Linked DNA regions of Lepisosteus oculatus. The protein of the gene in region 4 binds, or shares a complex with, the protein of the main gene of each other region. Links are inferred from orthologs where the notes say so. Each region holds a gene or a part of one and is shown on either strand. Other genes may lie near its edges. The genes, in order: gtf2e2, polr1c, gtf2h4 and polr2eb.

Evidence for each region.
Region 1: polr2eb (region 4) and gtf2e2 share a complex: the UniProt entries of both Homo sapiens proteins name them as parts of the TBP-based Pol II pre-initiation complex. The link is inferred for Lepisosteus oculatus from reciprocal best matches to the Homo sapiens genes POLR2E and GTF2E2.
Region 2: polr2eb (region 4) and polr1c share a complex: the UniProt entries of both Homo sapiens proteins name them as parts of the pol I pre-initiation complex. The link is inferred for Lepisosteus oculatus from reciprocal best matches to the Homo sapiens genes POLR2E and POLR1C.
Region 3: polr2eb (region 4) and gtf2h4 share a complex: the UniProt entries of both Homo sapiens proteins name them as parts of the TBP-based Pol II pre-initiation complex. The link is inferred for Lepisosteus oculatus from reciprocal best matches to the Homo sapiens genes POLR2E and GTF2H4.

Annotation. Positions count from the first base shown.
Region 1 is NC_090696.1:69,245,981-69,253,699, reverse strand, and holds the start of gtf2e2 (transcription initiation factor IIE subunit beta), read right to left. Parts: upstream 3,470-7,719; 5' UTR 3,297-3,469; intron 1,965-3,296; 5' UTR 1,964-1,964; coding exon 1,804-1,963; intron 1-1,803. Other genes in the region: hgsnat (heparan-alpha-glucosaminide N-acetyltransferase), read left to right, coding at 5,038-5,263. UniProt on the Homo sapiens protein: Recruits TFIIH to the initiation complex and stimulates the RNA polymerase II C-terminal domain kinase and DNA-dependent ATPase activities of TFIIH. Both TFIIH and TFIIE are required for promoter clearance by RNA polymerase.
Region 2 is NC_090712.1:17,542,788-17,550,980, forward strand, and holds the start of polr1c (DNA-directed RNA polymerases I and III subunit RPAC1), read right to left. Parts: upstream 3,373-8,193; 5' UTR 2,838-3,372; intron 2,566-2,837; 5' UTR 2,557-2,565; coding exon 2,437-2,556; intron 2,166-2,436; coding exon 2,094-2,165; intron 1,978-2,093; coding exon 1,870-1,977; intron 1,376-1,869; coding exon 1,243-1,375; intron 1,130-1,242; coding exon 1,010-1,129; intron 126-1,009; coding exon 1-125. Other genes in the region: protein YIPF3, read left to right, coding at 3,713-3,784, 5,058-5,264, 5,899-6,005, 6,843-6,888, 7,938-8,030. UniProt on the Homo sapiens protein: DNA-dependent RNA polymerase catalyzes the transcription of DNA into RNA using the four ribonucleoside triphosphates as substrates.
Region 3 is NC_090709.1:40,992,453-40,999,808, forward strand, and holds the start of gtf2h4 (general transcription factor IIH subunit 4), read right to left. Parts: upstream 3,488-7,356; 5' UTR 3,446-3,487; intron 2,371-3,445; exon of another isoform or gene 2,359-2,370; intron 339-2,358; exon of another isoform or gene 4-338; intron 1-3. Other genes in the region: uncharacterized protein, read right to left, coding at 6,073-6,210. UniProt on the Homo sapiens protein: Component of the general transcription and DNA repair factor IIH (TFIIH) core complex, which is involved in general and transcription-coupled nucleotide excision repair (NER) of damaged DNA and, when complexed to CAK, in RNA transcription by RNA polymerase II.
Region 4 is NC_090724.1:6,669,186-6,677,272, forward strand, and holds the start of polr2eb (DNA-directed RNA polymerases I, II, and III subunit RPABC1), read right to left. Parts: upstream 3,122-8,087; 5' UTR 3,001-3,121; coding exon 2,944-3,000; intron 2,731-2,943; coding exon 2,556-2,730; intron 2,073-2,555; coding exon 1,957-2,072; intron 1,466-1,956; coding exon 1,385-1,465; intron 626-1,384; coding exon 567-625; intron 1-566. UniProt on the Homo sapiens protein: DNA-dependent RNA polymerase catalyzes the transcription of DNA into RNA using the four ribonucleoside triphosphates as substrates.

The DNA.
Region 1 (7,719 bases), on a different chromosome or scaffold from region 4:
GCTGTACAATGGCTGACCCTGCGCTCTGACCCCCAGCTTCTCTCCCTGTCTGTGTGTCTGTGTCTCATGGAGAACAAGCTGGAGTATGTGAAAAGTTGAATTCCTAATGCAAGAAATTGTATATGGCTAAGAAAGTGATCTTATCTTATACCTGATCGATTCCATCAGGCACCCCTTTGAGTCAACTAGGCATGCATTAAGATGCAAATATTTGTTTTCATATAACATATTATGCCACAGTAAAAAAATGCATACAATGAATGTGTTCTGCTAGATTGTCACCAAATGCAAAAACAAAGTTAAAAGCAACCATTTCAAGCCATTTCACTCTTTAAAGGCAGTATTTTAAAACAATACTCACATTTAACATCCATACAAACTGTCATATAACGGCATGTTGATAATATGTTCGTGTAGATGATGGGCACAGAAATACATAAAGAAACTAGACCCCCTAAAGTGTGTGAATGAAGGTCTCCTGAATGGCTTATCTACTGTTACAAGGAGTATTTTAAAAGAGATGAAGACGCATCCCAGGACTTCCAGAACAAGACTGATCTAACCTAAGAAGTGGTAAGACTTCCCCAGTACACTGCCAGACTGCTAGTGTAGACTCTACCAGCTGAGAAGGCTGGAGTAACATGGGGAAGGAAACAAGACTACCAGACAACTGTGACACCTAGTGGCATGTTCATTTCAGAAGTGAGGAAGCCATAAGGCTTCCATAGTGAATGTCTTACAGCATGTCTCAGAGAAGGTGCCATTGCACCTTTCAGTCCAGCATAGGGCTTAAGTGATTTACAGAATAAAATAAAAACTAAGGTTATAAAAGTTAAAATAGAGGTCAAAAGGTAGAAAGATTTAAAAGCTTTTTCCAAGTACCCTGGAAAAGGAAACACAAACTGCTGGATCAATCCTGAGGACCCTCTTAACAAAGAAGAAAAACCTCTGCAAAGAAATATTAACATTTTTCCAAATTAAGATTTCAAATGTTCATTTTAACTATGAAGCTGAAATGTCAATTTAATCACTGTTAATGATTCTGTAGAACAAATGTTAATCCCACAGTATAATTACTGCAATTCTCTAATGATTCTTTGAATGACATAACACTACACGTAAGAAAGTTTACAAACGAGAAAACAAATTGCAGGTTTTGAGCCAAGCACACTACTGATTCAAAAATGAACAGTGGTGTTAAAGCAAGCAACAGCAGGCCACTCCTTCTCTGCAGCAAGCAAACTTATCACTGATTATCTCACAGCCCCAAATTACAAAGCTCTGCAACTGCCCTCATCCTAACTAATAATACCATCAGCACTAAATGTATATTTAATTTGTGAGATCTGACATTCAGAACCATTGAACTCACACCTTTAAGATTACGGGGCAGTACGTGTGATTGTACTTTCAACTGAACGGACTGAAAAAAATTATTTAACACCATGCATGATCTCATAAGCTGTGGTTATTGTTTTTTGGAAAGAAATATGATATTGTTGGTACATTAAGACTGTAGCAAGCTCATTATATTAAATACGTGCCCTACTGCACTAGTTGTGTCAAAAGCAGGAGACCCCTTGAGCAATATCCATAACATTTTTTTTTCTGCAAACAGCAGATCTCTGTAAAATGGGGCTCAACTCATGTTTTCCCAAAAAGGGTGACAGTGGCAGAACTGCAGCTCTGTTGGTGACATACTCCCACTGCGGCTGCCTGCCACCATGTCCACCATCCCTCGCCGAAAACAGCTACTGATAGTGAGAATCACAGCAACCGCTGTGATCATTAATGCGTACTGACCTGTCCCATGTTTGGATCCAGAGGAGCCCGCCTGGTCGTATTTGGCCTTCTTTTTCTTGGAGGATGAGGAGTCTGAAAAGGCTGGCCGCTTCTCCACTGCCGGCGTGGAAAGAGCTCGCTTTTTAAAGAGCTCCGTCTCGCGGAGCAGAGCCGGATCCATCCTGCCAGCACACAGAGTGAAGAAGAAAATACAGCCAGGTTCACCTCGGCCACACATAGGCAACACACACCACAAGCTACAACACCCACACAACTGCAGCAAATTAGTCTAGGCTATTATTCGAATTTACCAGCTTTACAATAAATCCAGGCCTTGTCCTGTCCAAATTCCCCCCCCCGGCCTTTACCAATCATGCCCTCCTGCTAATCCTCATCTATGAACTGACTTCATCACTCATTTCTCCTCCCCACTGATAGCTGGTGTGTGTTGAGTGTACTGGTGCACTATGGCTGCTGTCGCATCATCCAGGTGGGGCTGCACACTGGTGGTGGTGGAGGGGATCCCCAATACCTGTGAAGCTCTTTGAGTGGAGTGTCCAGAAAAGCACTATATAAGTGTAAGGAATCATTATTATACCCATTTCAGAACTTGAATGTGCTGATGACATGATATACATCTCACTGTTGATTGCTTCAAGCTCTTTATAGTCCTATATAGCATTTTTTGTCAGTGTAGAAAAGTTAGCGATCCTTCCCTTAGCAATTGAACTTTTTGACAGTATGAAACAAGAGCTAGTTTAGCTCATCCTAAACAGGCTAAAAAGGGGACATGAAAATAAAACAATTTCCTGCTACACGTTCACATGCCAACAAGTCTTATGAAACATTATGAAGCAATCCAGGCCATACAGATTAACCACATGATTACAAGAAACTATAATCGTCCGTGTAAATGTTATTCTTTTAACAAGCTCTTGTTAGAGAGGTATTTATGAAGTATGTATTGATATTTTAATTCCTACAGTGTATTTCTACCAAATGTGCGAAAGGATTATGTTGTATATCTGAACTGTCGTGGAATCAATTTTATACGTTGTTCTTACTTCTCTTCTTTGTTAGATTCCAATGATTGCTTTATCCCTAACGATCAAAACATTTTATAACTAATAACCAAAACAGACAGGTTTTTTTAAAAATATATCAGTTTTGGTCACTGGGAAATACATTGGTCTCCAAAATTCAGTCAGTAGTAATTATTTTATTCTACGCTCCAGTAATGTAGTTTCTCGTCACATTCGGAACATGACATGTTACCACCTTTTGTTACCAAAGCATATCGCCAAATAAACACCGATAGCATAAACCTAAGTCAATCTAACATTTCCGAATTCTTCACAACAATGTATATAACACTACCACCGGATCTGTTATTGTCACACAACAAACCCAGCACACCAGCAACTATTATTTACACGCTCACATCTACCAAAGCGTTACATAATGTGTTGTCGACTATGATCACATACAAAATCAAAATAAGAATTTTCCAGTACCTTGTCTCCAGCTGCTTCTACAGGGAGGGAAAATATAGTTTTATAAATAGTTTAAATTTTCAGCAAACGATATTCAGAAAAATTTAGTTTGCTCCATTATACACTCGACAGACACTGGCTGCCTGGAGGCGAGAGTGCGCTGCTTCCGAGTATCACCGTTCACACTCGACTCTCGACTAGCAGCGTCTGTTACGCACACAGGACTCACTGGATGACGTAATGTTGATCTCCGAGTCCAAGGAGAGGAAATATGGCCGCCCGGGCTGGCTTTTGTTTATGTGTGTATACGCGGACAACAGGACACTTTTTTTTGCATGTATAAATACAAAGATACATTGGGCGTGATATGAAAAATAAAATTGACTGGTTATTGGTCAAGGTTATTGTATTCCCAAAGGTTTGGAAACAGATTAATCCCATAATAACACAAGTCAGCATACTGTATAAATCTCAGAGATCTGGAAGGTCTGCCTTGAGTTTTTAACCTTCTTGAATATGTCACTATTAAAAAATATTTTTTTCAAGATTGTTTTACAAGGGCGTTATATGTTGTTATTATTTTCGAAATAACTGAACAATGATAATATGCGGTTTGAGATTTTTAATAGACGAGCATATTCACTCATTAACTACTAAATATTCTCACAAGGTTTACAATGAATATCATTTCAAAATAACCCAGACGTTATAACAGTGTTATATATACTTGTATTACAAAACACAGTTGTAGACTTTATCCCGTTAAATCTAATCATGACAGACTGTTTGACCCTCTGCCATCTGGAAAACGGTACCGGAGCATTCGGGGCCGGACTACCAGACTCAGAGACCGTTTTTATCTCCGCACCATCAAACAATTAAACTCCCAGCCTCTGTCACCTACGATCTGAACCCTCACAGTACCTTCTCACTTTATCAAAACTCAAACACACGTCAAGAAGCTCACTCCCCATAATTTTCTATTTCAGTAAATTTGATTTTGAGTAGATTAGAGCAATAACTTTCCTAGATTTAATGTATTTACAAATTACTTTTAAGGAATTACATAACCTAAAGGCGACTTCAAAGAAGACTTTTTTAAGAGACGTATTATTAAGTAACGCACGCAGCTGTACACCTTAATAAAGGACTGATTGCTTAATCCACCAAAAACAATACAGACAGGAGCCCTTATTCAAAACATCTTACAGTGATATACAACAAATACAATGCATATACAGCATTAAGTCCAACTAATTCGTGACCACACGCATGTCAAGACGCTTTTTCACATTGATAAAGTAACCAGTGTCTATCTAAATCGACTGGTATAGATATTTGCTGTCGGTTGATCTGTATGGTGTTGCAGTTCTATCGGATACATTCATTTTACAAACGCTGTGATTTATTCCTTTTACCGGACTCAGTCAAAACTGGCGAGGGTTTATCGCTGTCGCTGTTTCAGTCCACAGTTCAGACTAATTCAAAGTACACGTTTTAAAAATAATTCACATTTGCCACACTATGGGATATAAGTGATTATTAAACCAACGGTTCACTACGTGATATTTTCCATTCCTCTGGTTGGATAAACCAGGCTACTGTCATCGTGCAAGTGGGTTTTAGTTTTTACATAAAGCCAAACGCGGGCTAAAATATAATTTGTTTGAAATAGCATATACGGGAATATCAGGAAAGTCATCCTAATCACTGCCTAAACTTTGTATCTGATCGTACTTTGTCCCTCTTCTCTCCCCCTAGTATGGTGTCAAAAAATAACAAAAAGGAGGGGTCGGAAGTGTCAGTCATGAAAACCGAAAGACATATTAAAAAAAGAAAACTGAAGGGTGGTAGAGCTAGTGTGGGAGAAGACTCAAAATCTGTAAAAATGGCCAGTTCGACTGATGGTAAGCAAAGGACGGTGATTTTGTCTGCAATCACTGCGCTCCTCGCCCTCTGCGTGGCTCCTCTCGCCGCTCAACTCGATGGTGAGTAATTTATTCCGTAGCTAAGATTAACAGGACATGTAAAACTCACATCAAGACCTCCCGAAAGTGCATTTACCGAACTTTAGAAAATTGGAGGGGAGACACATAACAGCAGAGCTCATTCAGCTGAAATAGGCTGTGATTTAACAGTTATTCGAAGAATGTGTAATGCACAACCGCATGTTTACCTACATTAAGTTGAAAGAAAATCTGTTTTTTTTTTTCATAGTTGCAGTGAGCTTTTGTCTACCGTAGTGGACCTGGAAAATAAGAAATGAGTCTGAAAAGACGCGTATTTCAGAAATAAAAGTTTGAACACTGAGTTGTTCAGATTTAAAGCTGACGTCTTTATTCAAACGGTAGATCTCCTGGTCTGTCCCTGAATATTGTCTGTCTCCATTGCAGATTAGAACTGACCTTAAAACAAAACAAAAATGGTCAAATGAAAAAAGTAAACTGATATAAACTGTATCCCTTGTATCACATGGAATATTGATTATATGATTTGAGATGCATTTACTTCAGCAACCTCGTTTTTCTCATTATATTTTAAGCAGACGAAAGGGTTGAAAAGAATAATTCCCCTTGGGAATTACCGTATATTTGCACATTTTTAGGCATAAGTATTAATTGTTTTTACGTCTCGGGTGACGTTCAGAAAGTTTGTACAGTCAGGTTCTGTATCTTACGTTAGTTATTTGACAGATCTTTAAAAGTACCACTACCGCTTGCCAAGATGAACAATTTTTAAATTAACTACACAGAGCATTGTTAAAATTAAACACAGGCCTGTTGTTGTCAAATATAGTTGTATCATATTTATATTTTATTTTTTCTTATTGGAAATGGAGTGTTTCAGTACATTATGTTTACATTATGTATTGTAGTACATTATGTATGTAAAAGCTGATTTAATTCATGCATTTATCTAAACTTTTTTTATAATTTATGTATACAGTTTAAACCATAGGTAGACAGGTCTAGTCACCAAAATACACTTGAGTCCTATAGGTTTTTATTCCAGATTTTTATATTTTCTAACTGCTTCCATTTCAGAGTCGGGGGGTGCCAGATTCTATTTCGCAGTTACAGACATCCCAACTTTGGAAAAATTGATTTCAGGGAGAGGGGTCATCCCTGCTGTGAAAAATTGCGGTTTGGGGTGGGGGGACGTGTATATATGCCATACACTATCAATACTATAACTCACTAGTCCATTTGGGTTGTACAGAGATGCGGCTTCTTTAGCAAATTTGAGAAAAAAATTGGGAGTGGGCTGGGGGGAGGCGATTTCCGGGAAATTATGGATCATTTGGGGGAGTCAGGGAAGAGATGCTGATTTCCAGGAGACTCCCGGAACGTCTTGGGATGTCTGCAAGTAGTGGGCACAAGTTGGGGTACACCGTGGACGGCACACTAGCCCATCTCAGGGCACAGACACACACAGACTTGCACACAGTCACATAAGAGTGAGTGTTTGTAGAATCCAGTTAACCTACCAGTTTGACTTTGGGCTGTGGACAGAGACCAGAGCACCTGGAGGAAACCCATGTGAAATGAGCGACAATATACAAACTCCACACAGCACCCAAGCTCCAGAATTGAACCCAGGGCCAAAAATATTGTAAAAACTAAAGTGCAATAGTGAGACCTGGAAACTATGTAAACATGTTTTGAACAATGAGAACAGACGACACATATTTACGCAAAGGTTATGGCTGGATGTGATCCTTGGCAACCAAGCAAGCTCAATGGCTTGAATGGTCTTATCTTGTTTGTTACCTTTCTTACATACTTATCATGGGTTTTTTTTAAATGTTACTCAATTGCTACTTCTAGAAGTGTCCGTTAGAACTTACAGGACTCCGAACCTCTAGGAATGGAATTGACTGACTCAGGTTTATGACATGTAATGAATGTGTTATTTAAAGTCTGTCGTTTAACAAAACAAGCCTTTATCATTTTCTGCTGCAATCCTGTCACCAATGAGGGTTCAGCTATGAGGGATTTTTGCTGAATTACTGGTATAAAATTGTGTGTTTCAGCAATGGGAAGGCCTTATTTTTCAAATACAATATTACATTTTAATTTCTTAAAATATATCTAAAGATTGTTCTTCTTTATGTCTCCAAATCGAAGGAACAGATAGTTAAAAGATTGATCCTTTTTTTTTGTAAATTAGAACTCGTCCACATCCGCTGTCAGGTCAGATTCTGGACTACTATAGCTTCTCCGCTGCCACATTTTCTCACACAAGGCTTCTTAAGACATTGAACTAATCAGGGACATTGCCTTGCTTGCAGAGCTACATTAAGGCATGTGACAACTGTGCGTGTAACTAGGCTGGAACCCCAGAAGCAGTTTGTTACAGAAGTGCCGTTGTGATGCAGAGACAAAGGGGGGAGAAGGCAGGCCAGCAGCAACACAAAACCTAACAATGCGAAACCTGTGATCGG
Region 2 (8,193 bases), on a different chromosome or scaffold from region 4:
GTCCAGCTCCTGGCCGGGCCGCAGCTGTGCAATCAGGATGTCTCCATGAACAGGGCTGATACCCGCCTCCGCAAACAGGTCTGCCTGGTTCCCGAGAGGAGTCCACTTAATGTCCCTCGAGTAAACTGGGACAAAGCAGAGAAACAGAACTCAAACACACAAATCTCCTTACATGTATGAAATGGCGATGTTGATTTAAAGCTGCTTCTTTTGCATGGTCTGGGGTCAACTGTGATGATTCTAAACTTATATGTTCTTAAGGCCCCTGGAAAAATAGAGAAGGAAACACTTCTTAACGAGTCACACGTTCTGCATAATACGTTATCCATGTCAGGAGTTCTAAGTCCATATTTCAGAGAGAATCTGGTCTCTTAGTCTTTCCATTCTAATGGAGGTCTTAATGACTTAAGCCAATAGATCTCTGCTTGCTTGGTAGGCCTTTTTCTTAAGAATGTTTTCAGCTCTGAGAGAACTGTATGGCTACTGTAATTAGCAACATTCCTATATCAATTTCTGGACTCTCCTCATTCGAGTGCCTGGGACCTAAGAACTTAGATTTCTGCAGAACAAGGACTGATGAGGGTGTATGGTACAGTGTATCTGGACATCATTAGTCACCTTTTAAGAGCGGTTTAGACTGAAATAAGGGTTGTTAGATTTCATGATGATAACACTTCTGCTGGAGGGTATTTTCAAAACAAAAAACTGAGTGCAGGGTTAGCATAAAACAAATTAAGCAAGTTCAATTCAAAGGATCTATTAGCTAAAGGAATCAATATTTCAGCTGAAAAAATGACAAGGCTGTGAACCACTAATCAATCTTGATATTTTTAACAGTCTCCAATTGGAAAGACTGCATGTACAGTAAACTGCTTTTGTTAGTTATAGCACATTAGGAGCTGCTAACCAATGCTTCCTTCCTCAGTTAAGGGCATGTTGCAGTTATCTCTTCTTTCCAGCTACTCCATGCTCTTGACTCAAGAGTCCAGATGTAAATAACAAAACATACCCATGTGGTTAATGTAGAGTTCACTGGGATCAGAGGAATCTTTGCTAGCTCTTGGATTTCTGGTGCACTTGATCTTTAGTTGCAGTTGAATTGTGTCAATATCTGTGCCTTCTTCATCCCCTGTGCAAACATATGAAAACAGTTTCCACATCATTTCTCTCAGGATAAAATGCAGCTTGTACTGAGAGACGGCTGTAACTTCCACTACAGAGGCCAACGATGATTCTGCTCACCTGCATTCCGGTACTCAAAAAGACGAGGGTCTGCTTTGATGGGGATCAGTCCCAGTCGATGTGCCAGAATCTCATCCTGGACAATGGATGTGTTGTTGTACACAAACACTTTCTCTATAGCCATCGTGGGAACCTTAGCAAAGACAGCATTACAGAATTAAGTAATAGGTTTATTCCATGCTGAAAAAAAGAAGAAAGAGAACACAACGTTTCGGCCGTGGAGCCTTCTTCAGGTGTCAGTCTTAATTACAGAATTAAGCCTGGGCTATTCCAAGCAATGGGTCAGGTTTTTTCAGATAACTGAAAATAAGCACTCTGCAACAACACCCACAGCCTGAAACAGGTTTTCACGAAACTATCTTGAGCCACCATGAAGTGTGCATTTAAATTTGCAGCTACGGTCACCTTAAGGTTTTATTTTAATATTACTTTTTATTTTCCTGTAAGTACATCATACAAGCTAAGGAATATTCAACAGTCATTGGTCCACACAATTCAAAAAGAAAATAGACTTAAGTAGAATTTACCAGCTAAAAAGATATACGTAGAATAGGAAAAATTATAATAGTACACATTTTATTTTATTTTTTTTTAATTGAGAGCCTGTTATTTTCGGGCGATATTTACCTCTGCTAGTAAGATTCGACGGAATGCATTAGCGATAGCAGCGTCAATGCCCACCATGTCGAACTCCAGCGTATTTTCATCCATTCGAATCACGTCGATTCTAAACTTCTGTAAAATAAAAATACTCGCGTTGCTTGAAACACATGATAAACAAAAGCGCAGGGAACCTCTTCCATGAGCAACAGCTACTGACAGCAAAGATTACAGCCGAGTTTTATCTTTACCTCTTCAAATTTTTTCCGGTTCCAGGTGTCATCGTACCCGGGATAATTACCAGGGAAGTCTGTCGTATGAACCTTTGAAGAAAAGACATTTAATTACCCCTTATCCCAAAACAAGTTATGTATTTTACAACACGCTTTACATTGTAAGAGAGAAATTGTAAACGAGTCTGCCTCATAAACAGTGTGCGTATCTGGAAAAGCGGTTACTTAACTGTCGTCGGCATAGAATTGTACACATGACACAACAAACTTTCTTACGACAATAATAATACGTTTTTATTTGTACTATCTCATAGCCTATGAGGAACCAGCATCTCTCCACCACCTAGAAACAAGCACTCACATTTCGGACCCCAAACTCGCCCAGAATCACACGATCGCGAATCTCTTCCACGTTGCTCCTGGGCGCCGCCATTTCTGCACACTGTTGATTTTCCTGTTCTTCAACGTCATTTCCGCTCATCGAGCTGTGCTTTGCAATAAAAAATATAACTGTCAAGTTGAGAACTCCTGACAATGCAGTTCCGTTATTTAATGATAAACTTTACTTTTATTTAACTGACACTAAATTCTTAAAAAAAGAATCAGTATTGCAATTATATATTATATTATTGTAACTCACAGTACCCTAGTATGTTTTATTTCCTTCATGGTCGAGCTCATGCCAGGAACCCTGCAACTCACACCTGGCAACGAACCCACTGAAACTAAGCAGGAGGTCTTAGCTGTGAGCCTGGTCAGTACCTGGATGGGAGAGCTCCCGGGAAAAACTAAGGCTGCTGCTGGAAGATGTTGTTAGTGGACGCGTGCGTTCCACGGCGGTCATGCACTATCGCCTGCAATAATTAAGATAATTAAGGCATATAAAAGGCGGCTGTTTAATCTGTCTAGCTATTTTTTGTTAATAGTAGCTAATCGAACTCTACTGGAGCTCGTCTAGATGTTTCTTTAAAGAAGGGAGGATAAGGGCTTCGACAGCGTGGCTGGGTAGCTGGTGTCCACACTCCCACAACTCTTTGTGTAAGAACATGCCTATTGCTCTTGATTTGGAGCTAAAAACTGTAGATAGCGCGCCTGACACTTTTCGTTCTGATGCATAGCTCAGCGCTGTTCATTTATATGAAATAAAGCGGAAAAAAGAAGCAGATTTTGCCTATATTTCAGGGGAAACTGCCGGACCTCTTGCAAGCACCAATACAAAAAAAAAAAAAGATAGTTCAAGTAGGTCGCAAAGGAACAATCCCATGCTGTAAAGAGAAGAAAAGAAACACAACGTTTCGGCTGTGGAGCCTTCTTCCGGCGTCAAGGAGAAGAAGGCCCCACATCCGAAACGTTGCGTTTCTTTTCTTCTCTTTCCAGCCCGGGAATAAACCTTCACTTGTTCCTGTGCAAACACACACACACGAAACAAGAGCTGAAGTCACGTTCGCGTCTCGCGAGAGGTCCCGCGAGCTCCACGTCTCCAGGCCTGGGTGTGCTTCCTGGTGGCCGAGAGCGAGCAGCGGCGCCGAGCTGGGGGTCTCGCCGAGCGACTTTTCTCCTGCCTTTGTGCGAGCATATTCAGTCTTAGCATATAAGGGCTCCGTCCCCGCAAGAGTGACAGTCCTGCGTGTCCGAAGATGTCCGCGCCGGGAGGAAATAAGAGCACCAACAGCGAGGCTTGGGGCAGCTTCGATGACAACCTGATTCAGGTAAACAAGAGCGACTCTCTCTCTCTCCTGACACTTCGGAGATAATACCGTCCCTTCTAGTTAAAACACCGCTCCTTCTTTCTACTAGCGCAGCCAGCGTTAGTTAAGACAAAAAAAACAATCGTCTGTACCAGCGATGAACAAAAAGCGTCGCCGAATATCGTAACAAAACGATTAAAAATAAATTCCAGTCACCACTACCCTTTCATCAGCTTTTGTTGTTGTTGTTGTTGTTGTTGTTGTTGTTGTTGTTTTTTGCTGACGTTTTCTACATTCCTGTAAGTCTTCCTATCCTTTTGTTTTCACAAGGTGGAGACGTTTTCACCAGTGTCTTGAGATTGTTGTGTGTTTAGAATTTGCTGCCTTGTGGATAATAGGTGTTGTTTCGGTTGTTTTGAAACGGACTCAGTTTTTGTATTCGCTTTAATCGATGCCTTTTGTGAACAGTTTCATGAATGGCTTGATATTTGGAGAACAGTCCAGTTTTAGGTGAAAGTGCTGGTAGCTCAATAAAATGCCAAATGTCCTGCAATTTTCAGCTCCAGCACGTCTGCTGTAGCTCCTGGGTAGCTCCGCCCAGTAATGTGGTAAGATATTGAGAAACACAACACAAATTGGATTGCTGTAGGAGTACACATGTACAGACTCAGTGGCCACAGCCTGGACATAGAAAGTGGATACAGGCAGACCTGGCTGTCCAGAGAGGACAGGCTCAGAGGCCACAGCCTGGACATAGAAAGTGGATACAGGCAGACCTGGCTGTCCAGAGAGGACAGGCTCAGTGGCCACAGCCTGGACATAGAAAGTGGATACAGGCGGACCTGGCTGTCCAGAGAGGACAGGCTCAGTGACCACAGCCTGGCCCTAGAAAGTGGATACAGGCGGACCTGGCTGTCCAGAGAGGACAGGCTCAGTGACCACAGCCTGGCCCTAGAAAGTGGACACAGGCAGCGCTGGCTGTCCAGAGAGGACAGGTGGTGCTTTCACTGCCAGTGGGAAGAAGCCGAGACAAAGATGCACTTTCTGCTGCACTGAGAGAAATACTCTGGGATTAGTTGGACATTCTTCTCAAAATAACAAATCTAATCCCAGAATCCCCACGCCTGGCAGAATCAGAACAGCCCGAGGAGCTGAGAGTGAGCTGCCTCACAACAGTGTTTTATGTGATGGGTGTAAAAGTTCTGTGGTGCTGTAAATGTCTGTTTTTGTCGTGGCCGACCCGGTCATCTGCGGGGACCGGGTTGACCAGCCTGCCCCGTGCGTGGTGCGCCAGCAGGGCGGGGGCTCGGCCGTGATCGACATGGAGAACATGGACGACACGTCGGGCTCCAGCTTCGAGGACATGGGCGAGATGCACCAGCGCATGAAGGAGGAGGAGGAGGTGACGGAGGAGGCGGCCGCCACGGAGGAGGGCGAGGACGGAGAGTTCCTGGGCATGAAGGGCTTCCGGGGGCAGCTGGGCCGGCAGGTGGCTGACGAGGTCAGTGGGTGGGGCCCGCCGAGTACGGGGCTCCGGGGCCGAGCCAAGATCCTGGGCCCTGACGCGCAGACCAGCCGTCGTGCAGCACAGCGCCACGCGTCTTTATTCATTTCCACATGTCCCCTCGCACAGACGTTTCCAAGTGCTGTCGGGGCTTGGTGTTAGATGAAAGCGCCCTTAAAAGCGAGAGCAGGGGCCAGTTCTTTACACAAAGAGTTGGGGGGAGTGTGGAACAAGCTGCCCAGACATGTGCTTGAAGCCAGCGCTTTGGGGCTTCAAGATCATGAAGATCATTGGATTCATTCACGACTAACAGTATGGCTAGACGGACTAAATGGCCTCCTCTCGTCTGTCGCCTGTGTTCAGACCGCTGATGAGTCCTCTGTTCTGTAGCTGCTTTGATTGCGATCTGTAGAATTTAATCTACCCGCCCGCAGAAAACTGGGCCAATTAAAAAGGAGCTTAATTTCTTTCGTTTACTTTTGACATTGCAATCCTTTAGAATTTGTTTGGATTGCTCCCACATTTGTACAGGAACTGAAAGAATGGGAAAGAAGGAACCTTTGGCTCCGAGCAGCCAGGTGAGGGGCTGGAGGCGTGAAGAGGCTTATGTGTTGTTTTCCTTTCCGCCTAGGTGTGGCAGGCAGGGAAGAGGCAGGCCTCGAAGGCTTTTAACCTGTATGCCAACATCGACATCCTCAGACCCTACTTTGACGTTGAGCCCGTTCAAGTCAGGAACAGGTAAGGAATGTGAGGATACAGCGTTCTGTCTGTGTTAGAAATGCAGTGGAGTTCTCCCTTCTGATCTGGCTCTACAAAAACACGTACAGTAGGGTTGCGACCTCTGCGAATTTAACATTGACGAATTTGCTTGTTCCGTGATTCGGTCTGGCTGACAAAGTCTTGGATGGAAGAAGAGCAGAGCGGGATGAAACTGAGCTGAAGGTTAAGCACAACTCTCAAACCAGCTGCACAACAGACCAGGATTGTGAGATGCATCTAGCTAGTGCGTGAGCCTCCCCCTGCCCCCTGCCCTCGTACCCCCTACCCAGCACCCGCGCCTCAGCGTGGTCCTGTTTCTCTACAGTAACAAACACTCCAGGGTCTGTGTCAGCAGTGTGGGGAATGACAGGCTGGAGACACAAGCTCACTGACAGGTTTACTGCTCTTCTCAAGCACAGCCCGGATTCATGTTGTTTATTTTGTCCGATTAATGTACGTTTATGATCTCTGTTGTTGTTTGTTTTTGTTGATCGATATTATTCTAATTAACTTCAAACCAATGCATTAGTACTTTAAATATCCTATAAGGAAGGATTTGTTATGTCTTTTAACCCCACATACAAAATGTTGTAGTATATTATGCAATAGTATAGGAGTGAATTTGGTTATAAGCGAATTTGGCTATTCATGACAGTTTTCTGTACCAAACCCTAGCGAATGTCCAGACTCTACTGTAAATGTAATCTTTACTAAGACAAATAGTTGTTTTTCACTCTAGGGTAATTCTGTTGGCAGAACGTTGTCATTGAAGTATTTGAAATTAGTTTTCTTATTCACTCCATTACTGTCTTCCAGGTTGATAGAATCATTGATTCCTGTAAGAATGATTAACTTTCCACAGGTAAGTGGCACTGCTATGATTCCCCGAAACTTTGTACTTTTTAACAGAGAGTAATGTTCTCTAATATTAAGAAACGTAAGTGTCGCAGTTGTTTCTTTACATTTTCTGCTCAAAAACGGGATGGCGTACAGTAAATAATGGCAAAAAATAAAGAGACAAAGATTGAACTAGATTTGTGGCCATTATAAACTGTTTTGGATTTTTCTTTTTTGCATTCAAAGTAGCAGTTAGCCCCCGATTTCTGTCCATTTTCAGTGTAGAAACTGATACCATGACTAAACTGAGTATGGCTGTTTCTTTATAGTTTCTGGAAATAATAATGACAATTAAGGATATGGAAATGGGATTCTAGGAGCTAATGTGTTGTAACCGAGTAGCTGGAGTTTCAGAATTAGGATAAGTCAAGACACTCCAGATACTCAGAAAATGTCTAATAGGTCCGCACATAACCTTATTGGGGTATTGGCAGCACCTGCTGGGAGCAGGTTTTCCCTATATGAGGGTTCAGTGAGTCTACAGTGGTTTGAGTTAGACCCTCACCGTCAGGGGGACAGTGAGAAACAGCCTTACGGGGAGACTCCTGACTGAGTAAAACACCCCGCAAGGGAGCTGGGTTCAGCAGCAACCCCGCAGGGCATCGGGGTGTCTGCTGTCTGCCTGGGTCTGAAGGGGAGACTCGTCTAGTGTGTTGTGTGCCGTCTGGCATCATCAGTCATGCAGTAAGACTCCCGAGTTCGCACCGTCTCTCAGTGAGACTGTGATTAATAGAACCTTGTGGTGAGGTTAAGGCTGCTGGTTACAGTTCTAATCTCCAGGCGGGACCTGAGGTGACAGGTTATTAATCTCGCAGTGAGACTTTAGGCTGCAGTGTTATCAAGAGCTGGGGAAGGCTCTTCATAACCAACCGTCTCAGTCGTTCTGTCGGCCTGCTGGTAAAAAGAAGGCAATGAGAGCAGAGAGTTCATTTTTTGCATGTTCTGTACTATATTTTCAGAGTAATGCACATTTGTAACTGCAGGGTTTGATTTCTTTATCTTTCTCCTAACTAGAAAATTGCTGGGGAGCTGTATGGGCCCTTGATGCTGGTGTTCACTTTGGTTGCGATTTTGCTGCATGGAATGAAGACATCTGGAACTGTCATTGTAAGCTTTCCAAACCTTGCAGAATTGCAAAAATGCTAAAAATCAAAGAGGCACATAGTTTCATGGCAGCCCAGAGGATCTTTTTCAGTGTCGTTTCAGTGTGGAGTATGAACTCCAGCAGTGCCAGTAATCACTGGTATTTAATGATTTCTCTGAAGGACCA
Region 3 (7,356 bases), on a different chromosome or scaffold from region 4:
TACCGGGTGTCTGCAGAAGACAACTCAAACGATGTAAGAAAATAAAAACAAAAAGCAGAGTCCGTCAGCCGCCTCGCTGGGGGTCCTGGTTTTTAATCCTCCGCCACGTACGGCGCCTCCCAGAGAGAGCCGGGATCACGTAACGTCCCACGCATGAACGTCTTGCGGGGAGAAAGTACGCGGCCGATAGGAAGTTTCCCACCCGTCCGTGAAATAAAACTATAAGACTCGCCCGCCTCTGTGAGCCTCACGCAGACAGGCGAGGGAGCGGTGACGTCAGCGCAGCCCCCGCCTCCCTCCAAAACAACCAACGAGCTCGGCGGCCGAGGAAAGAGCGGCGCCCCCGCGAGTCCTCCCACCGCCCGCCGGCGCCCCCTAGGCAGGCGGTGTGGCGGCGCCGTTACTAAGCAAGTGTAAATGTTATTGTAAAGGCATGGGGGAGGTTTAGAAAGAGGAGGAGAAACCGGGGACGTTAGACAAATCGAAGGCCCCGCAATTTTCAGAGCGCCCCGTCGGTGTGTTATGCCATCGAGGACACCGAGGGTGGTGGGGGGTGGGGAACAAGCTCTTCTGCACACAAAGGGTACACAGTGTGTACAGGCGATTCCTTCACCGTGTCAGTGTGGGGCACTCCCTCCAGACTAAAGAGACTCAGTTCCTTCACCACGTCACTGTGGGACACTCCCTTCAGACTAAAGAGACTCAGTTCCTCCGGCCTGTCAGTGCGGGACGCTCCCTTCAGACTAAAGAGACTCAGTTCCTGCAGCCTGTCAGTGCGGGACACTCCCTTCAGACTAAAGAGACTCAGTCCCTCCAGCCTCTCAGTGCGGGACGCTCCCTTCAGACTAAAGAGACTCAGTTCCTCCAGCCTGTCAGTGCGGGACCCTCCCTTCAGACTGAAGAGACTCAGTTCCCTCAGCCTGTCAGTGTGGGACACTCCCTTCAGACTAAACAAACTCAGTTCCCTCAGCCTGTCAGTGTGGGACGCTCCCTTCAGACTAAAGAGACTCAGTCCCTCCAGCCTGTCAGTGTGGGACGCTCCCTTCAGACTAAAGAGACTCAGTCCCTCCAGCCTGTCAGTGCGGGACGCTCCCTTCAGACTAAAGAGACTCAGTTCCTCCGGCCTATCAGTGTGGGACACTCCCTACAGACTAAAGAGACTCAGTTCCTCCAGCCTGTCAGTGCGGGACACTCCCTACAGACTGAAGAGACTCAGTTCCTGCAGCCTGTCAGTGTGGGACACTCCCTTCAGACTGAAGAGACTCAGTCCCTCCAGCCTCTCAGTCTGGGACGCTCCCTTCAGACTGAAGAGACTCAGTTCCCTCAGCCTGTCAGTGGGGGACACTCCCTTTAGACTAAAGAGACTCAGTTCCTGCAGCCTGTCAGTGTGGGACACTCCCTACAGACTAAAGAGACTCAGTTCCTCCAGCCTGTCAGTGCGGGACACTCCCTTCAGACTGAAGAGACTCAGTTCCTGCAGCCTGTCAGTGTGGGACACTCCCTTCAGACTGAAGAGACTCAGTCCCTCCAGCCTCTCAGTCCGGGACGCTCCCTTCAGACTGAAGAGACTCAGTTCCCTCAGCCTGTCAGTGGGGGACACTCCCTTTAGACTAAAGAGACTCAGTTCCTGCAGCCTGTCAGTGCGGGACACTCCCTTCAGACTGAAGAGACTCAGTTCCTACAGCCCGCCAGTGCTGGACAGTGTCAGGCCCTTACATTTGTACCCACCTACACACTCAGACGCATCAGCAAAAACAAAAAAGCTGATCGTCTTTGCCTTGATCTGTATTTTTTTTTCCACTGCAACGTGTGTTTTTGTGCAAACGACCCGGGGTCTCTACGGAGCTGGGAAAGATCCCGTTTGGGAACCCGCGTGGCTTGGGCGCGCAGGGCATCGGGGAAACCGTGAACACACACACACGCAGACACAGACACCCAGGGCAGCATAGTTCTTGTCTCAGTACCGCAGCTGCAGGCAGGAATCTACGTCGAAAAGCGTCGAAACAACACAGCGGCGAGAGCTGTTTCCACGCGCCCAAACCCACACCGCGGGTACCAGCCAGTAACCGTCTCGTCTCGCGGGGGGGGGGACCTCCGATGGAAATCTGTGTGGCCGGGTGACAGAGCCACAGCGCGCCTCCACGCAGACTGCTCTCACGCCCCCGCGGGGCACCGAGAGGGTGAGACAACAGGGCAGGCGTGGGCGGCGAAAACAAAACAACATCTACCTGCCCGGCCGGGCCGCGCTCAGGAGGGACAGTCGACCCACCGAGACGGGCGCTGCTCCAATCAGAAACGTCTGTTTCCCCCCCCCCCCTATTTTTTTATAGCCCCAAAAACAAAACTGTCTGTGGTCACCTTTCAGAGAACCAATCAGCAGTGTCCCCTGCTTACCTTTCAGAGAACCAATCAGCAGTGTCTCTGGTCACCTTTCAGAGAACCAATCAGGAGCGTCCCCTGCTTACCTTTCAGAGAACCAATCAGCAGTGTCTCTGGTCAGCTTTCAGAGAACCAATCAGGAGTCTCTGGTCACCTTTTCAAAGAACCAATCAGCAGTGTCCCTGCTTACCTTTCAGAGAACCAATCAGCAGCGTCTCTGGTCAGCTTTCAGAGAACCAATCAGCAGTGTCTCTGGTCACCTTTCAGAGAACCAATCAGCAGCGTCCCCTGCTTACCTTTCAGAGAACCAATCAGCAGCGTCCCCTGCTTACCTTTCAGAGAACCAATCAGCAGTGTCTCTGGTCACCTTTCAGAGAACCAATCAGGAGTCTCTGGTCATCTTTCAGAGAACCAATCAGCAGTGTCTCTGGTCATCTTTCAGAGAACCAATCAGCAGCGTCTCTGGTCACCTTTCAGAGAACCAATCAGCAGTGTCTCTGGTCACCTTTCAGAGAACCAATCAGCAGTGTCTCTGGTCACCTTTCAGAGAACCAATCAGTAGTGTCTCTGGTCACCTTTCAGAGAACCAATCAGTAGTGTCTCTGGTCACCTTTCAGAGAACCAATCAGGAGTCTCTGGTCACCTTTTCAAAGAACCAATCAGCAGTGTCCCTGCTTACCTTTCAGAGAACCAATCAGCAGCGTCCCCTGCTTACCTTTCAGAGAACCAATCAGCAGCGTCTCTGGTCAGCTTTCAGAGAACCAATCAGCAGTGTCTCTGGTCACCTTTCAGAGAACCAATCAGCAGCGTCCCCTGCTTACCTTTCAGAGAACCAATCAGCAGTGTCTCTGGTCACCTTTCAGAGAACCAATCAGGAGTGTCTCTGGTCACCTTTCAGAGAACCAATCAGGAGTCTCTGGTCACCTTTTCAAAGAACCAATCAGCAGTGTCCCTGCTTACCTTTCAGAGAACCAATCAGCAGCGTCTCTGGTCACCTTTCAGAGAACCAATCAGGAGTGTCTCTGGTCACCTTTTCAAAGAACCAATCAGCAGTGTCCCTGCTTACCTTTCAGAGAACCAATCAGGAGCGTCTCTGGTCACCTTTCAGAGAACCAATCAGGAGTCTCTGGTCACCTTTTCAAAGAACCAATCAGCAGTGTCCCTGCTTACCTTTCAGAGAACCAATCAGGAGCGTCTCTGGTCACCTTTCAGAGAACCAATCAGGAGTGTCTCTGGTCATCTTTCAGAGAACCAATCAGGAGTCTCTGGTCACCTTTTCAAAGAACCAATCAGCAGTGTCCCTGCTTACCTTTCAGAGAACCAATCAGGAGCGTCTCTGGTCACCTTTCAGAGAACCAATCAGGAGTGTCTCTGGTCATCTTTCAGAGAACCAATCAGGAGTCTCTGGTCACCTTTCAGAGAACCAATCAGCAGTGTCTCTGGTCACCTCTGGTCACCTTTCAGAGAACCAATCCGGAGAATCTCTGCTCGCCTTTCAGGGGCTCAGTGGAGGGTGTCTGCGGGTTTCTCTCCTTCCTGAGGCACTGAAACTGCGTCGATCCGTTTGGGGTTTAACAGGTGTAAGGACATGATCGTCAGGAAGTCCGACCACAGTCTCACTCACAGTCGAAGAGAGATTTTCCTCGATGAGTCGTCTCTCCTCGGGCTATGAGAAACTCCTCCGACTCGATACCCAACCAAGAAACATTTCGCTTTACGAGCGTAACCGATTCCTAGAAAACTTCCGACTATTTTTTGGAGGAAAATACGTTTCCCCACAACTCAGCTTCTGAAACCTTTCGTTTCGCCCAGGAGGTGTGGAAAAGTGCGCCGGGGTTTCTAAACTAAGTGACGAACAGCCTAAATTAAAAAAAAAACACCAGTAAATGTTTCCTACAGGGCATTATCGGGAGTGATCGGCTTACTAGATATTTCTGAACCCTGGTGCGGTCCGTCTCTTCCGAAACGCACGTTAGAGAGCCTCCTCGTTTCGACCCTGAAACTGCCCTCTTTAAAGGGACCGAAGGGTTGCAACTCGTAGAAAAGATGCCTTAAAATGTCACGGCTCCGTCTCCTCCTCTCCCGCGTTCTCTGTAAGCCAATCGGGAGTGTCCATCATCGCCTATCTGTGAACCAATCAGGAGCGTCGGTGGTCTCCTCCGTGAACCAATCAGGAGCGTCTCTGGTCTCTTCCATGAGCCAATCAGGAGCCCAGTCCCGAGACTAAGGGGGCGTGTCTTCCGTGTCGCGGAAAGTCCTTATCTGCTAATTAATAATACTGTAGGTTTACCGAGGCTGTTAAACCACACCCAAAGAGAAAGAAAATCACGGACAAGATGATATCCTTCCATCTCGTGCTTAAATTTGGACACAAATGGGTCTTTGTTTCGAAACTGAAAAACATTTTATTACGTACAAACGTTTCACGGGATTCGGAAGTATTGAAGTTTTCGCCTCCAGGTGTCGTGCTCCAGGTCTCCAAGTGAACGTTTCGGTTATTGTTTTTTTTTTTACATAAATAAGGCATTTTGAAACGCACCCCGGGCAGCCCCCTCTCCCCACTGGAGCCCCAGCAGGTGTGTGAGCCCGGCCAGTACCTGGAGGGGAGACTCCTGGGAAAAACTGAGGCTGCTGCTGCTGGGAGAGGTGTGAGTGGGGCCAGCAGGGGGCGCTCTCACCCTGCGGTCTGCGTGGGGTCTTGCTGCCCCAGTATAGCGTCGGGGGGACAACATGCAAACTCCACACAGACAACACCCCAGCGCCTCAGTTGAACCTCTGCCTCACTGTGCTGCTGCTGTTGCTGCTAGCACCCAGACACCCAGACTCACACCACACGAGCTCATTATCTAGCGCGGGGGGGAGGTGCGGAACTGCAGCCCACAGCCCCCGCTACCAACAGGCGTGGGGCAGACACACCGTGTATAGCGCCGGACACGCAGCTACCCCGGATGTGGCGCGTCTGTCTGTACAGACCGATACGATTGATCTAGACGCTGCTGGAAACAAACAAACAACAACAAAAAAAAACACCGACAACAACTCCCTAAAAGCTGTGAACTCGACACGCGCGTCTTGTGCTCGCACGCAGTGAAACCACACGCGTGGGCGGGCGGTAGCCGGAGCGGCGCGAGGCGAGGGGCCTGGTCTGCGCTCCTCCCACACAGCCGCCCGAGACGGCAGCGCGAGCTGACCCCCACTGACCCCGGGCCCCTACTGTCACGGCCCAGCAAGACAAAAAAAACACGCACGTTTTTAAACCTGCAGAGACACGGACACCAGCTCCTCTGTCCCCACAGTCTCTCCCTCCCCTCCGTGTCTCCTTCTTCACCCGAGCGCTTCTTCCGAACCTCAAAACCCCCCTTTTTTGTGTGTTTTGTTTGGTTCTAAAGCGCCGGTCCGGTCCGGTCCAGTCCAGTCCGGTCCGGTCCCCCCGGAGGAAGAGGGAGATGATGGAGACTGGAAAAGAGCCAGCCGCCCCCGCCTCTCCTGCACAGTCCTCGTTCCTATGAACGGTTTCAAAAAGATTTCGTTGTACTTGAAACAAACAAACAAACAAAAAAAACCTCACGATCTTTTAACAATGATTCTATTCCTCCCAAGTGCTGTAGGTAGAAGAATGTTTCGCCCCCACCTCTCTCTCTCCGGGGCTCGGACCTGCAGGACAGTCTCTCTCTCCTCCCCCCCCGACCCGAGTCACACCCGCCCCCCCTCTCCGGGCAGGCAGGAGATCTCCGAGTAGAGACCCGGGGGCGGCGGCGCTGGCCCGGGACGCGGGCGCCCCCTCAGCACCGGCACCTCCACGGCGGCGTAGTCCGTCGCCCCGGCGTCTCCCTGCGAGGAGAGGAGACACACACACACACCCGGGGCGTGAGAAAGACCGCCCGGTCCTTACCGCCGCTCAGACTCAGTCCATGGACAGTGATGGACAGCAGTCCATCACAGGGCACACACACACCCTGGACAGGACAGCAGTCCATCACAGGGCACACACACACACTCACACACCCTGGACAGGACACCAGTCCATCACAGGACACACACACACACACACACACACACACACACACACACACACACACACTCACACACCCTGGACAGGACAGCAGTCCATCACAGGGCACACACACACACTCACACACCCTGGACAGGACACCAGTCCATCACAGGACACACACACACTCACACACCCTGGACAGGACACCAGTCCATCACAGGACACACACACACACACCCTGGACAGGACACCAGTCCATCACAGGACACACACACACACACCCTGGACAGGACACCAGTCCATCACAGGACACACACACACACACACACACACACACACACACACACACACACACACACACACACACCCTGGACAGGACACCACTCCATCACAGGACACACACACACACACCCTGGACAGGACACCAGTCCATCACAGGACACACACACACACACCCTGGACAGGACACCAGTCCATCACAGGACTCACACACACACTCACACACCCTGGACAGGACACCAGTCCATCACAGGACATACACTCACCAGCACCGCGACATTGCAAGACAGCCATCGCTGGCGGCAATAACACCACCGCCGGCCGGGTCACACGACCGGCTTTCAAGCGCGCCCAATAACAGGAGAAATAACGCTTTTAGTAAAGTACTCATACGACAAGTACTCAAGTAAGTACTCACGCTGCCTGCGTCGTTTGTAATAAATTTTTAAGTATTATAACGGCACGTTATTATATGCATGAAATGAGGTGGTCCGGGAAGACCCCTGTGTTGGAGCATTTTAAACCGGAGGTAAGGGGGGTATTCGCAGACAATTTCCAAGTGCACACATCTGAACGTTATTTTTATTGAAGGTGTTTCATCTTTTTTTCATAGCTCGAATTGATGTAGTCCTGTGCAACCCCCGACGGTCTTTTTCCGTCTTGACTTGTTAGACGTGCTCCTGTTTGTATTGCGAATGTTGTTA
Region 4 (8,087 bases):
TGCGGCAAGGCAGCAATGCTAACTGCTGCACCACTGTTAATAAGATAGGATCACTTTATTGGGGCCATATACCATTTCTTGTATTAGGAATTTGTCTTTTCGCGGACCCCAGCTTGCGCTCCATGAGAGCAAGTTGCATAGAACACTGGCCTTGCAGAGTCTCTAATGGACCTGCGCAGTGAGCTTCACATAGAGCTGCTGCACGAGAGGCTCTGCTGCCCATCGTGTAGAGCCTAGTATTAAGAGCAAAGGTCCGAGGCAGCAGAACACACAGTAGGAGTGTTCAGTGTCGCCTTATACCTGAGCAGGATGACCTGGACGTCCACTCTAAAGGTCACAGGACACCAGTACAGTGTACAGAGAACAGGGGTTAAGTATTGAGGCAAAGCAGTGCTAATTAGCAGAGTCTAAGAGACAGACTTCTGTGGCGATTTGTATGTTTTGCGATATTGTCAGGCACAACTCCCAGAACATCCAGAAGACAACGTTCTCTGCTTTTCTCGGAACAGCACACGGTGAGCCGAGTGTGAAAAAGACATGTGGGTCAAACCGCGCGAGAAGGATACTATCGAGCCAGCAGCTCCGTCACCTCTTCTTTAGTCATCACTATGTGCTCTGGAACCAGCTGCAAGACAAGCAGAAGGGAAACCAGCTCATAGTCCTGACAGCACAGCAGAACAAGAAAACACAGCACTAGCAAAATCAAACAGCTCCGAACCCCGTTTTCTTACACTTCCTTTGTTCCGTTATATAAACACGTATGATTTTTTTTCCCTGCACTTGATAATCCAAAAGGTACACAACTGTAAATAATACACGTCTCTTATTGAACCTCATGCAATTTTACTCAGGAGTTCTTTTCAAGCAACCCAGAGTGCTGTACAACGGCATACATATAATAAACAGCAGAAACGAAAAGAAATATTTAGAAGAACACATTAGGGGTCACAGGACGTGGGGCATTGCAGTTGTGCAAGATACGACTTGCACAAGATACTTCACTCAGACCGCTCTTGTAAAACACCCTCCTGTACAAATTGGCACAAAAGCAGCTTTGGCTAAAAGCATCGGCCAGTTCATAACTACATTTATCCCCGTCAAGAGACAAATGTGATATCTGCAGTTATTAACTTAAAAATAATAGAGATCAAAGTCTCTTCCAGTTACAAATAAGAGGAGGCCATTCTGCAAGGTCTAATCTGTACAGTTTTTAGTAGCTAAATGACTGACGGATCTCGTCCAGCTGTTTTGTGAAAGAAACCATGGCGACAGCTTCAACAATAAGGCTGGGTAGCTTGTTCCAGAGTTCCACAGTGCTGTTGGCAGTGGGGGCAGCCGCAGCTCTGGGGCCAGCTCGCCATGCCTGCGCTGAAGCTCTCCTCACCTCGTGTTCTGTGATGTTGATGAGCAGCTCCTGCTGGAGAAACTGCTCCAGGATGTACTTGGGGGCCATGTCTACCAGCGACTGGAGAAGGACAGGAAACAATGCAGCTGAAACACCACACCACCGTCAAAACCTTCCCCCCTGCCCCCTCTAGTGGGCACTGTGTGCTTCTTTTACTCACACGATGGGTACAAGTCTCAGATCACCGATGTCATCCTTCATTGGAAACAAAGCTTGTGTCACCTTGGGCTTACAGTTTCTACAACGTTACTGCACTTTATTCATGTTCGCTGTTTTCATCTCCCGCTTAACTCTGCGTGTTCACTGAATGAGAAGTCTTGCTAATTTAAATTAACTTCCATCCCTTATTCTGCTAAAAAATATCAACCTCTATCGATCTAAATATATAACTGCATGTGGACTTGAAAGGATCTTATGTCCTCACCTCACAGTGCGAATGTTGCAGCAGGTTAAACATGTTATGTTGGTTTAACGGAGGATCAGGTGAAAGTGAACATGGCTAACTGCGAGGTTTGAGCGATACTGGGGGGTTTTTAAGGGGGGGGTTGTACCTGTTTGGCAGAGGGTGTCATGCCCATTTGCACCACGATGATTGCTCGTGTGATGTTCTCCTCCTGCATGCGCTGACAGTACATCTTAATAGTCTTGATGCCAACTTTGGGCTCCTCTGTGGAAAGAGCACATGTGCCTGGTCATTCTCCAAGTAAAAAGAGGCTCTTCTGAAGTTAACACTGGACGAGATCTGAGACCCCCCCTTATACATGCCAGAGATTCTGAGGGTTCAATTACAGTTAAAGTCCTGTGGACAGTTTACTGAACACATGCAAAGTCCCTGGGGCCAGCGATAGCTTCTGGTGCAGCTGTGCTGAGGAGTTCTCCACTGAGTGTGGATCCCCTAGGATGTGCTGCACAGTTTGTTCCATCTCCCAGGCACACAGAGGGCTGAACGAGAAGTCAGCAAGGCATGGACCCTGACGGCTCCCAGAGTGATTAAGATCGAACACGAAGTTTCTAAACGTTGGCTATGTCGCCAACACTTGCATGTCAGAATATTTGACTGTTGCCTGATGATCTGCTTGGCAAACGTTGGTTTAGACGTACGTGGCGCGACTATGTGTACATGTGGGTGTGAAGCACTCCGAACTCCCACCTGGGAAAAAGACGAACATCTGGTCAGTGGGGTCATCGTTGTGAGCCACCAGCACGGTGAGGTCCGTCCGGCGGGGGCGGCCTTCGCTGGGCTTGTCCCCGAACTGGCTCTTGAACTCCTCCAGGGTCTGATCCAGCTCGTCCTGGGTCACCAGGTAACCCCGGTCATGACACAGCTAGAAGGCGATCCACACAGCAGCCGTCACCACGGGCTGAGAAATACCTTTTTTTTTTAATCTTTGAAAAAACTTTTTTTTTATGGTACAATTCCGAGATCGTGAAAGGGGCTAGACGTGTCCCACGGAAGAGCTACACGCGAACACCGGCGCATACCCAAATTATCTTCTTTTTTTTTTACGGAAAGAATAAATGACTCGCTCCATTCTTACCTGCATGATAGTTTTCCTGATTTTCCATAATCTGTATGTCTCCTCCTCATCATCCATTGTACGTTGTTTTCAGAAGAAACAGAAAAAAACTTCAATCGCTCTCCTCCAACACGCTTCCTCCTTTCGCGCAAACAAGCTGACTTCCGTCGCTCCGTCGCCACAATGGACCCCTTGCTGGCATCCAAGCATTTGCCTGTAATTTTCACCATCAGCTTTCGTACTTATCTGAGAATATATTTAAATCGTATTATTCTTAAATAATAGCACTACGTTTTTGACAATTAGATCAGTAAATCGCTTATGACCTATTTTAGAAGCCCATTTGAGCCAAAAGGTGCTATTAGCTATTATTTCCACGTACTACTGAGTTCTCCATTTTTTTAAGGTCCAATAAAGACCTAAAATAATCGTTCAACATGGTGTTAGGGTGTTAGTGGGGCCAGCAGGGGGCGCTCACCCTGCGGCTCATGTGGGTCCTAATGCCCCAGTATAGTGACGGTGGTGGTGGAGGGGAGACCCTATTACCTTTAAAGCGCTTTGAGTGGAGTGTCCAGAAAAGCGCTATATAAGTGTAAGCAATTATTATTATTATTATTATTATTATTATACTGTAAACAGGCGCCGTCCTTCGGATGAGACGTAAAATCGAGGTCCTGACTCTCTGTGGTCATTAAAAATCCCAGGGTGTTTCTCCAAAAGAGTAGGGGTGTAACCCCGGCGTACTGGCCAAATTTCCCATCGGCCTTTACCAATCATGGCCTCCTAATAATCCCCCTCTATGAATTGGCTTCATTACTCTGCTCTTCTCCCCACTGATAGCTGATGTGTGGTGAGTGTTCTGGCGCACTATGGCTGCCGTCGCATCATCCAGGTGGGGCTGCATATTGGTGGTGGTGGAGGGGAGTCCCCATTACCTGGAAAGCGCTTTGAACTGCTGCCATTTTGGCTCGGGGACAGCGCTAGTTTCTGCGCGTCCCTTTGGAGAGGAACTAGGTCCAAAATGGCCACCCCAGTGAGGCAGTTGCTTGAACCGGAAATAGCCCAAGACCCCAACGTCTTCTTTCCGGGGCGGGCCCTGGCCGGGAGAGTTAAGTCTCCGTGGGGCGATGCAGATAGTTACACGGTCTCTGTGTTTCGGACTGGTGGCGAGCAGAGCGATTGTACGAGCTATGGTAAGGCATTCGCGTTCTGTTTGTAATCTGATTGCCTGTGTGATTATCTGTCTCTTTGCTTGGTCCTACACTTCGTTGCTTTCGAAGTCGATATTTTTAGATACGCTGAGTCAGTAAGCAGTACTTTTTTGAAGAAGATCAGTGAAGCTTCGTACGGTCATTTTCTGTCACTGTAGGGTTTGCAATACTCGTGACTGTTAAACTATTAAGTAATGATATTGGTGCGCACTAGCCTAATTCTTCCAGGTGGATGCTGCACATTGGCGGCGGTGGTGGAGGGGGTGTCCCCATTACCTATAAAGCGCCTTGGAGGAGTGTCCTGAAAAGCGTTATATAAGTGTAAACAATTATTAATTAATTATTATAATTCTGGCAATACACACGCCTAATACTATAAGACATGAATCACGTCAGTGCACTAAATATCCTTTATTATTGGTTCCCCGTCATTCTGCACATGACGGAAACTGCGGTGTCGAGAGCAGGTGGCGACAGTATTGTGAGAACTGGGCTTTACTGCTGTGCTGCTTTTCAGGCAGACGGTGGAGCGGGCCTTCATTGGTGTTTTCTGCCGAAACCTCTGTCGCTCGCCTCATGATTGTAAAGATCTTGGGAGTCTGTTTGGGTAGGTTGTGTGTAATCCGCAGGATGGTGATGCACCATGAATGCTGCGTGCGATTTAGAAACCGCAAGGCAGCAAAAACAAACAAAAAAACTTAACAACAATGCGGGAAGAGCCTTGTCCTTAAAAATCTTTTTATTGCTTAAAATCGCACCTGTATTATTAACATACGTCATTGTAGCAATGAATCAAGTTTAATTAGGACTGTGATGATCTTTCTGTCTCAATCCATGATTTAAAAACGTCATTTAACGACAATAAACGCGACAAGTACGATTATATTACATTAGAAAGGCGGTTTTGGGCGATTTAACTATCAAGTAACAGAATGAGTTACAGATTATTCGATCTGTAACTCATTCTATCTTGCGTGCATACAGTGACCCGTGATTTCTCCTTCTACTGCTTCTCAGTGCGCCCTTTGGTTCATTTACAAGCCCTTACCAATCGCACAAATGAAGACCTGCCTCAAATATCAGGCTCTCGAGAGGCAGAATAGCTTTGCTGCCCAGAGACTCTTCGATTCTAATCCAACTGCTGCAAAACAAATGGCATGATCAGAGCTGTGGGCTTTGCTCCTAGCCCTGACAAACGAGTGGAACAGGAGAGCATTGTGAGAAGCGCTTCATTTGCATAGAGTCAATAGCTCTCAGAAAACTGATTTATTTATTCCGCCAGCGCGCGCGCGCCCTCGCCCTGACGTCAGCTCAGTCGCGCGCTTGACCACGGCTGTTCTCTGCAGGCCGAGAGCGTGCGTGTGCGTGGGGCAAAAGTCAGTGTTTGGAGTCTGCCATCAATTAACCCCCTCTACATTTACGGTTCTATTACTCCCACCCCCACCCCCTCTAGTAACTGAATAAATGTCTCAAAAGAAGGCCAAGCTGTTTTGAAACGCCTATTAAATTAAATTTTCGTTTAAAGACGGACATCAGAGGTTGCCCTGCAGTTGCCAGTTACACACACACACATATGTGTTTAAAGATAATTGGCTTCCTTGTCTTTCTGGGCACGCTTATGAAGTGTGTAAGAACTCGTGTCTTGGTTAGGCGGTAGAAACCGTTTTAGCCCTGCGGTTGATACTAAACTGGTTTTCGTGTCCTGCTGGTGCGAGTTCCCCTTGTTCAAGCGTGTGTTTGTGTGGACGACTCGGTGAAATCTGACAGTGGTTTAAGCGTCCGTTACCCCAGAAACGTTTAAAAGGGGTTTGCGAGGCTCTGGTTTTCTCGGGTCACGAAGATGTAATTTTCTCAGTTACACGCAGGCAGCCTCCGATCTTGGAATTTTTCAGTCTTCAGCTGTGTTGCAAGCTTATTGCATGTTTGCTTAACTTTCCTTCAGTATTAATAGCAGCAGTAGGCTTGGTGTAATTGCAGAACTGTGTGTGTGTGGGTCTTGGGCAACTGAGAAGTGTCACAGAGTGGAAGAAACCTCAAGTTTCAGGGACAGACTGAAAAAACATTTTTATTCTCTGCAGTTTTAAAGCTTAGTGTTTGTGGCGCTTGCAAACAACCGAGATGACTTTTTTTAAAAAAAACAAAAGGATGTGCAAATAAACTGCATTGCAGCTGGTTTAGATTTAATATTAAAAATGAACTAGAGGAATTCAGGTTGAGACTCTCTCAAGTCTATGCCAGCTGTGCCTTTATGTTGGATTTGAACCTGCAATCCTCTTGTCAGGAATCCAGAGTCTTAACTACACCTTTGCCCCAGTACGTCTAGCATGAGATCCTATGAAAATACTTTTTATAACAAGGAGCAATCCATATCCTTCCCCAAAACTACCCAGGATGCAGAATGCTAAACATTTGCTCTTCGTTATGACACCAGTGCGGCTACAAGCCAAGGAAATGCATCATGATGGAAGAGCATTGAAAACTAAAAATGGGAGAAAGGGTTGTAGGAGTGTTGGACATGCTACCCGGCCATGTTGTTGAAGCTGATGCCCTGCTAATTTCAGGAAACAGTTGGGAGAGATCCTCGGATCGATTACCTGCTGATTACCAGATGAACTGGATCTGCTGAATGCCCTTCTCTTTTTTTGTAACCTTTCTTATTCATCCACCACTTTTTCTAACCACTTCATCCAATTCAGGAGGTCCAGGTACCCCCCTAGACAGGACGCCAGCCCATCGCAGGACACACCCCGACACGCACACACTCACACCAGGGCCCAGTCAGTTGACCTCCCACTCCGTGTGAAATGTGGCGAGAGATCGGAGCCCCCAGAGGGAACCCACTTCAACACACGGAGAACGTGCAAACTCCACGCAGACGGCAAACTCCCAGGAATTGAACCCAGGGCCCCAGCAGTGTGACACAGCACTGCTGACACCTGCGCCACTGTGCTGCCCTTCCTTTTCTTATTCTGCCACGCCATGTGGTACAGCTGAATGTGCCACAGCATCTCTTACACAATGGAGTTTCAATATCGATAATGATGGATCGGCTTGGAATGGGCATCTGTGCTGCTCAGAAGGGAGACGGGATGTTCTAAGGTAACAGGACATGACTGTGAGCACGAGAGTATTTCACAGGCAGGTTCTGGATAGGTAGACTTCTCGAGAGAAGCCGGCCCAACTGCAGGAGGCCAGCTGTGGCTGAAACAGGCTTTCAGGAAGAAGCGAGGAAGCATTTTGACTCTTTAGTCCAATTCCGAAATATCCCCAAGAGCCTGTCTGCTTCCTCAGTGCTCACATGATTGGATTTTTTTCCCCCCATTTTCTCAGAACGCGAATGTGAGACGTGGAGACGTCTTGCTCTCCAGTGTGCGTTTGTGGGTGTGGTCTTGTCAAGTCAGCGCTGTCCAGTGTTATTTAGTGTTGGGACATCTTCCTAAATATGTATTGTAACCTTTGTCCTCGGTTCCAGCAAGCTTTATGACTTGTAATGTGTTTATCTTGAGGCTGTCATGGGCACAGGAAGATAACAGTATCTTTTCTTATGTTTTGCTCGCTGAACTGCTTGGATCCTCTGCAGTTACATGGGTTTAGTCCACACACAGTGCAGGACATTGATCAGCTCTATCAGCTGGGCGAATCCGGTTTGAAGTGGTGACTAATGCGGAGCTGTATGGATGGGCAGGGTCCAGAATAAAACGGGTTGAGCTGGGGATTTCTTTGAGTCAGCTGTGGCTCCTTGGACTAATCGAATTTACTGCTGCGTTAGTAGCTGTAAATCCAGGACTGTCATGCCTTGCCTGAGACGGGTGGCACTGCTCTGCGTGCTCCTTCAGAGTGTGGTAAGACACTGCAGCTCTGCGGACCAGAGACTGGGATGAAAGTGTCGCATTCCCGTGGACGGAGTGCTTTCTCCCACACGGGAAAGGGTTTCCTCTGGGACTGAACGGCTCT